Canis lupus familiaris: one gene and its partner. The protein of the gene in region 2 interacts with the protein of the main gene of each other region in a pairwise test. Links are inferred from orthologs where the notes say so. Each region holds a gene or a part of one and is shown on either strand. Other genes may lie near its edges. The genes, in order: MAZ and BPTF.

Evidence for each region.
Region 1: the proteins of BPTF (region 2) and MAZ interact in a two-hybrid assay, tested with the Homo sapiens proteins (2 studies listed by BioGRID). The link is inferred for Canis lupus familiaris from reciprocal best matches to the Homo sapiens genes BPTF and MAZ.

What each region holds. Positions count from the first base shown.
Region 1 is NC_049227.1:18,029,516-18,034,052, reverse strand, and holds the start of MAZ (myc-associated zinc finger protein), read right to left. Parts: upstream 2,885-4,537; 5' UTR 2,844-2,884; coding exon 2,652-2,843; intron 2,569-2,651; coding exon 1,712-2,568; intron 1,312-1,711; coding exon 1,248-1,311; intron 973-1,247; coding exon 801-972; exon of another isoform or gene 70-800; intron 1-69. Other genes in the region: kinesin-like protein KIF22, read right to left, coding at 4,284-4,331, 4,421-4,480. UniProt on the Homo sapiens protein: Transcriptional regulator, potentially with dual roles in transcription initiation and termination.
Region 2 is NC_049230.1:14,279,669-14,283,475, reverse strand, and holds part of BPTF (nucleosome-remodeling factor subunit BPTF), read right to left. Parts: intron 2,819-3,807; coding exon 523-2,818; intron 1-522. UniProt on the Homo sapiens protein: Regulatory subunit of the ATP-dependent NURF-1 and NURF-5 ISWI chromatin remodeling complexes, which form ordered nucleosome arrays on chromatin and facilitate access to DNA during DNA-templated processes such as DNA replication, transcription, and repair.

The DNA of each region.
Region 1 (4,537 bases), on a different chromosome or scaffold from region 2:
GGGTGGATTGGGATGGGGGGATGGGGGGTCAGCCAGGCGGAGACCCCAGAGACGGGGTGGTTCTCCTAGGCCGGGGACGCCCTCCTCAGATGGCCCTGTCCTCCTCCCACCACATCCTTGGTAGCCTGGGGCCAACTACTCTCTTGGGGCTGGTGGAACATCGCCCCTCCCTAAGCTTGGGGCCTGGGTGAGTGGTGTCAGCTTCTCAGCCTTGGTGTCCACAGAACCTATTTTCTGTGGCTAGGGGGACCTCTCCCGGGGTGACAGGCCACTGATTTCTAGCCACTCGAAGAGTTGACCCTCAGCAGAGACGGCTGTGTCCCCTCCCTCCAGGGCCCCATACGGTCTCATTCCAATTGCTCAGTCAATCTGTGAAGCTGTATAAAAGCAGCTTTCTGCTACTAGGGCAGGGTGCGAGCTTGTTAATCCCCTGCCAGCATACTCCACTTGCCCCAGAAGCCAAAGAGCACACCATTGTGGATGCACAGCTGAAACCCTGCCTTCCAACCCTTGGGAACTGGCTCTCTTGACTGCTCCTTGCTCCTTTCCCAAAGCAGCCGAATCCTGCTCCTCCTCCCCACCCCCAGAGGCCCACTCTTGCTAGTAGCTCATCTCCTCCAGTCAAGACCTCTTAGAACTTAATGAGGTTCGGTCGTCGGATGTTGTTCCCCTTGCTTCCTAAAAGGCTCTAATAGCCGTGAGCTCTTGGCTACAGCACCTTTAACCCACATCTGTGGAAGGGCCTCTGGCTTTGCCCCTGCCCTTTGTCCCTGGCCCTCCCAGCATCCCTCAGCATGTACCTTTGTTGCAGAGCTCACAGACATGGTGAGGGCCCTGGCTGTGCACCTTCATGTGGTCCGAAATATAAGCCGAGCTCAGCATCTTGCCACACACATGACATGGCACCTTCTCCTCGTGTCGTACTGTGTGCGCTCTCAGTCGATCCTTCGTAGCAAAAGCTGCCTCACATTTCTGGGGAGGGGGGAGGGGCGTGGGGGTTGTCAGGAGAGTTAGAGCTTCGGGGAGCAGGGAGAGGGGAACAAGAGGTTAAAGGAATCAGAGCCTTGGGGATCTTTGATCTGTAGGAAATGGGAGTGAGATGACAAGGTCTTGAAGAAGGGATGAGAAAATGGAGTGAAAAAGCAAAAAGAAAAGAGAGAAAAAGGGGGTCTGAGAGGCCGAGCTCAGACAGCTACAATGAGGATCAAAATCATGAAAACCGGGAAAGGAGGAGGCGGGCTTCCTACCTCACATTTGAAGGGCCGTTCTGTTGAGTGCACTTGTCTGACGTGACTGTTGAGGTGATCCGGCCTGAGAATACGTTGGGGTTGGGGTTAGGGCCCTGGAGTGTGGACGTGCTCCCAAATCTGCCTAACTTAGCGCAACAGGCCCTTCCAAAGACGCCCGCAATTCGCCCCGACCCGAGGCTCCGGAGTCCCGGTGTGGCAGGAAATCCCTCCCCCTGCCGCAGGGCGGGCTGCTCCTCCTCCCACGCGAAGCTTTCTTACAACCGGAGGACCCACCTCCTTGGCTAAGTACCACCCCCCGCTCCCTGGTAACCGGGAGAGGCTTTCCTCCCTCCTCCCGGGGAGTGGCTCCCGGTCCCCATCCTCAGAAACCGCCTCCCTCCCCGCCAGCCAAGGCCAGGCCACCTCCGTTGCCGTCCCTCCCTCCCCACCCGCCCAGTGGGCGGCCGAGGCCCCGTGCACACCGGGAAAAGCTCTTGCCACAGTGGGAGCAGTTGTAGGGCTTGTGCACAGCGCCGTCATGTGAGCGCACGTGGTAGCTCATGCGGTCCTTGCGCTTGAAGCGCTGCTGGCACACCGGGCACTGGTAGGGCTTCTCGTCCGAGTGCGACAGCTTGTGTCGGTTCAGATGGTAGACGTCGCGGAAGGCCTTGCCGCACATCTCACAGGCGTGGTTCTTCCGGATGCGCTTCCCCGAGGCGGTCGTGGTCACCACGCCACCCGCGGCCACGGCGGCCGCTCCGCCGCCCGCACCGGCTTCTCCCCCTCCCCCGCCGGCTCCGCTCAGCTGGGGCACGCTCAGGAGACTCAGGGGCACCATGGTGGGCATCTTCATAGCACCCGAGGGGACCCGGCCGGCCTTGGCTCCTGTGTGGATGGCCTCGTGCCTCCGGAGATTGTAGCCGTTCTTGAACTCCTTGGCGCACAGGGCACAGATGTAGGGCCCCTTGCTCTTTGTCTTCTTCTCCAAGGCAGATGCGACCGGGGCCACGGCGACCGTCGAGGTTGGGGCTACGACGGCGGTAGCCGCGGCTGCGGCGATAGTGGCGGCAGAGACAGGGGGCGCGGCCTCGGCCGCGGGCGCCGACACCGGCGGGGGCGGCGGCGGGGGCGCCGGCGGCTGCTTCAGAGCCGCTGTGTCCACTGTGGAGGCGGCGGCCGGGGCCGGGGGCGCAGCAGCGACGGCGGCGGCGGCAGCAGCTGCTGCGGCGGCGGCCGCGGCGGCGGCAGACTCCTGGGCGGCGGCGAGAACCGGGAGCAAGTCCACCTGGAGGGGCTCGGCCGCCGGGGGCTGGGGCGTGGGTGGGGGCGCCGGCGCGGCCTGCGAAGACAAGGCGCCGTGTGGGCCGCGGCCGCGGGTCGGCGCCCTCCCGGCCCGGCCCGCCACGGCCGGCCCCTACTCACCTGGAATGGACTCTGGGCGCAGCCCTGGGAGGCAAAGAAGCGGGACTGGAGCTCAGCCCCGACCTGCAGGGGGTTCTGGGCGTGACCCTGAGGTGGCGGGAAGGAGTTCATGAGGCCGCCCACCCCCCGGGAGTCCAGGCCCAGCACGGGGAAGGGGGGGGCCAGCAGCGTGCAAGGGAACACGGGGAACATGGCCTCGGCCACGGCGGGGCCCCCGGGGCTCAGCGGGGGCCGGGGGCGCGGGCCGCGCGGGGCCCGGGCTCGGGGCGCCGCCCCCGGCCGGCCGGGCTGGGCCGCGCCGAACGCATGGCCCGCGGGCCGCCCCGCCGCCCGCGCACCCCGGCCGGCGGGAGGGAGGGAAGGAGGGCGCCTGGCGGGCCGCGGAGCGCGGCGGCGACGGCGGCGGCGACGCCCCCTGGGTGGGGGCGGGAGGCCCCGCGGGGCCGGGGGCCGGGGGCCGGGGGCGGGGGGCGGGGGCCCGGGCGGCGGCGGCGGCGGCGGCGGCGGCGGCGGTTGGAGCCTGGCGGGGCGGGGTGGGGGGAGCGAGGGAGCAGCCTCGGCCCCCGCCGCGCGCGCGCCCAGCCGGCGCCTCGGGGAGGGCGGGGGAGGGCGCGAGGGAGGGAGGGGGACAGCTGCGCGCGCACCGGGCGCGCGGAGGGGGGGTGGGACGGGAGGGAGGGCGGGCGGGAGGGGGTGTGGGAAGGGGGGGTGGGGGGGCGGGGGGAGGGGGTTGTTACCTGGAAGATGAAGCTGCTCCAGTTGCCGGGATCCATGGCGGAGGGAGGGAGGGAGGTGGCTCGCGCTCACCCTGGGGCGGGAGGAGGAGGAGGCGGCAGTGGGGGAGGGGGAACCCAGGGAGGAGGCGCGCGGGGCGAGCGGGAGGGGGGAAGGAGGAGGAGGGTGGGGGGAGCGGAGCACACTGCGCGCGGGGAGGGCGGGCGGGGGGCGCGAGGACACACAAGAGGCTGGAGCGGGCGCGAGCGCGAGCGCGCGCGAGGCCAGCGGGAGGGGGGAGGTACGAGAGGGACTCTGGCGGGAGGAGGGACGGGGGAGCCACCCAGCAGCCGGAGTCGCCCCAAGCGCGAGACCCCTGAGACGGCCGCTGATTGGCTGACGATGGCGCAGGTGGTGGGCGCGCGGGAGACAGGGCGGCTTCTCTCTTCCCCCCCCTTCAAAGATTCCACCCCCCCTCCTCCCTTCTCCAGCGGCCGTTATTTCGCGCGCACGCGCATAAAACCGCTGTCGTTGCTGAGCGGGAGAACAGGGGAGCGCGCGCCGGGGGTACGGATGGGGCGGGGCTAAACTCGAAGCGCGCGCCCGCCTAACGGTCGCCGTCCGCGGGCTTTCGCGTTACTTTTTTGTTTCCTTTCGGCCACCGTCGTTTCCCCCTCCCCACGCCAGCGGTTTATTTACAATCCTACCCCGCTTCGTTCCTGCCAGCTTTTCCCAAAGATGGCGCCCGAAGAAGTTATGCCGAGGAGCTTGTGGCCCAACCCAAGGGCAGTTATACCCCCTGGCCCCGCCCCCACAGTCCCAAGAATCAGGCTGAAACACCGGAGTAAAAATTGTATTTACACGACACGCAATTATATAAGGATTAAAAAAAAAATGACAGAGGAAAGGAGCTGGCAGTCAGGAGGGGCCGCTGCGCTGGCACGCGGCGAGACCCAGGATGTTCGCCTGCAACACAGGAGGGAAAGGGAGAGGGGCATTAAAGCTGGGTGCGGGGCACAGGCTGGGGAAGGGAGGGGGCTAAGCGGTGGGCTCACCTTCAGGAATGATTCCATCTGTTTCCCGGATATGCCCTCCACGTGTTCCAGGTCCTCCACCTGGCAGGACGGCACAGCAGCAGCGATGGGAAGGGGCCTCAGGGGTGTCCCGCGTCG
Region 2 (3,807 bases):
AAAACAAATGTTTATCATGCAAATAAATTATTTTAGGAAGATTTCCACATTATGATGAACTCGGTGTGATTCACAGGCATGTTTCCTATGTCTTATGTTTCTATGAATTACCTAATAGAAATAAAATACAAACATTCCAGAAAGTGGACTATCCAAGTCTCTTATTCTCATTCCCAAGGCAAACACATGGCAATAACTCAGAAAGTTAAACCACAAAACCAACTATATTTGACATGTTTCTTCTGTCTTGAGGAAAGTAAAACTCAATTTCATTTTAAAGATTTAGATCTTTTCAAGTCTCTTAACATTTTCCCCTAAAGTTTTACCCTAAGTAAACTTGAGTACCTCCCAGCCAGCCAAATTCAAGATTCTCTGTTATCTTATTTCCATTACTAACCTGGCTTATTAAATTTCTGCTTCCCTCTTATTATCTCATTTTTTTTCTGTAAAAAATGAGATATGCTTACTCAAAAATGCTTTTAAGACTTTCTCCCTTCCCCAAATACATTTTAAAGTACATACCTCCAAGTGATACCAAAGGTTGGTCTAGGAGAAGGATAAGGCCATATGTCCAAGGCAGGTTTTGCATTGTAATTAAAATAAGGGACTTCTCGGATTCCTCCTTTCCTGGCCAACTTTTTTAAGTCATCATTAGGTAAAACAAATATGCTCTTCTTGCTGCTCTTGGTGACAAACTTTCTATACGATGGCAGAGCTGTACCTGAACGAGTCTTCTTGGGTCTTGAAAATTTCATGAGTTTCACTTTATCTCTTGTGGAATACTCTTTGCTCACGGTCATAGATGTCACTAGAGTGCCCCCTGCAGTGGTCAGCGAATCTGTCACTGTTGTGGTGACCACAGTTTTGCTCTGCTCCTTCACAGAGATGATGTCCACACTGCTGCCTGTGGAGGGTGTGGATAGCTTTGTGACTGTTGTAGTGGTGGTTGTGACAGTGGACTTGGCACAATTTTCTGTGGAAGAGACCACAGTCTGCTTATCCCCTTTTGCTACTTTGATTACAGTTTTTGATTCTGTGGCCACCGTGGATGTCATGGTGGTGACTTCTGTGATAACTGTTTTTCTCTTAGACTCTCCGTTGATATTTTCATCTCTGTTGGTGGGCAGACCATTTTCATCAACGAAATCATTACTGAGGTTAGATTCCTCTCCAGAAGTAATAGGTGAGGGAGTAACTTTCTTAACTTCTGAGGTTTCAATTTCCATATCTTCTACCTGATTTGTTGAACTGTTTTCTGGACAAGACAGTGGAGGCATGGTCTCAGACTCTTTGGTTGATGGCAGGGTGTCTAGGCCATCTTGGTAGTCGCATGCAGCATCTGAAGATCTCAGTAAACGTGATTTTGTTTCCAAGTTGTTTTTTTCATTAAAATCTTCCATGATGACATCGCCATTCATGAATGGCTTTACAGCAGATTCTTTAACAGTCAATGACTTAATATCATTTTCAGGAATTATTTTATTTATATTATTAAGCTTTGATTCAAGATCACCACTTGCTACTTTACTCGCAGAGATTTCTTTCAAGGATTCCCCTTTTAAATATGTTTTGGGTTTATTATCTTTTCCATTTATTTGATAAGTACTTGCTTTCTGTCCTTTCTTTTCAGACTCTCTATTTTCATTATTCTTTCTGTCAGTGCTACTTTTTAGATTGATTTGATCAATACATTTATTAACTGATCTCTCCTCTAATTTCTGTTCTTGACTTGGCTTCCTACCATTTGCTTCAGTTACCTTACCCTGTGGTCTCTTATAGTTGCTAGTGGACTTATCTGGAACAAACTCACGTTTCAATGGTTCCAAGCCTTCAATACCTTGTTCTTGAGTTACAAATTGCTCAGAAAGACTTTCATTGCTATTCTGAACAATCATATCTTCTTCACTGCTGTCCTGAATAGACATAGTATCAGAACTATTTTCCAAAGTGCTGTTATATTCAGAGATACATCCTAGTTTTCCTTCAAAGTCTACTGCTTTTGACAGAGATGGGGGATCTCTATCATCAGTACTTTTAGGTACTGATGGAAGTGAAGGGCTCTGGGAAGGAGAAACAATGGTGTCATTATCCTCCTGTATGAGTGTTTTTTTGTTCTTATAGATCAAAGTACCAATTCCATCTGCACTGGCTAGTTTGGAGTCATCAATGAGAAAGTCACTTCCTCTTGTTTTAACCTTATTAAGTTCCTGGCCTTGACTGGTAGGTTGAGAGAGACTCTCATTTATGTCATTTCCAACAGAATTCTGTTTCTGACAGTTTGTCTCTGGGCTCTGAATGGAGATGTCATCTAACATTTGCTCTTTTGGATAAAGTCTGTTTGTTGTATGATCAGGATCATTGATTCTAAGAATTGAGGAATCGCTTTGTGAACATCCTCGAATCACATCTTCAGTTTTACCATTACTTGTGTTAGGGCTTTGTTCTTGTCTAAGCGAGTCACTTTGACACCCTTCTTTTGCTTTTGTTATTACTGATGATTCAGAAAGGCTTTTCAAAGAACTTGTACACGTCTTCCCTATACCCTTAATTCCACCCTCCAACTTCATTTTCTCAAGGCGCTGTTTTTCTTCCAGTGTAAACTGTTTAACTCTCCTTTCAAGAAGTCCATCTAGTTTGGATGATTTAATTTTCTTTTTATAACTAGTCCTTAGATGGAAGCCCTCACTGACATTGACCACATCTACTTGAGAACCTTCCTGACAGTTTATATGCGGCTCTGTTTTCACATCATCATCTATCTCCATTGGTTCTTCCTTAAAGGGTTTCTCATTGTCAGAATCTAAAATTTCTTGTACATCTGTGAAACAAACACATTTATGTAAGTGCTAACTTTTAGTCTCAAATGTGGAATTCACAATATTTTTATTTTAAAAACCACCAATGTTTATTTTCATTTCACTCACGGGGCTTCAGTGTAAATATACATATTTGAAAGCTCCTGATACATGATTAAGATAGGTCAATGGACAGGGCTAAACTTTATAAAAGGTTAAAAAACAGACATTTTGTAAATATTTAAATACTCTGATTCTTAGTATCTGAAGTTGGAATGTTAAAAGAAAAATTACTTAGCATGTGACAGTTACCCCATACTCCAGTACCTTCATGGAAAATTTTATGTAAGATATTTCATAGTCATAAAATATCTTAAGGCTTATACATTATCTAGCTTACCTAGTTTTTAAAGAATGACTTTTCACAAAAGACAGTATAAGTTCCTCAGAAGGCTGGACACAGAGTTATTAGCTCATGACCTGGGATTCCACTACTAGGTCTTTACCCAAGAGGGATGAAAACATATGTCTACATAAGAACTTGTACAAGGATGTCCTTATCAGTATTCATAATAGCCAAAAAGTAGAAACAACCCAAAAGTCCATCAATTGATGAATGGATAAACAAAATGTGGCACGTCCATACAATGGACTATTATTCAGAACTAAAAAGGAATGATAAAATGCTGACATATGCTATAACATGGGTGAATCCTGAAAACATTACACCAAGTCACAAAAGACCATGTATTACGTGATTCCATTCATACAGAATATCCAAAATAGGGCCAATCCATAGAGACAGTAAGTAGACTAGTAGGCTGGGGGGATTTAGGGAGGATTAGAAACTGGGTACTAAGGAGTATGAAGTTTATTTTTGGGGTGGTGAAAATGTTCTAAAATGGACTGTGGTGACAGCTGAACAGCTCTGTGAAATACTAAAAACCACTGTACATTCTAAATGGGTTAGTTATATAGTAAATGAGCTGTGATTCAATAAAGCTGCTATTAA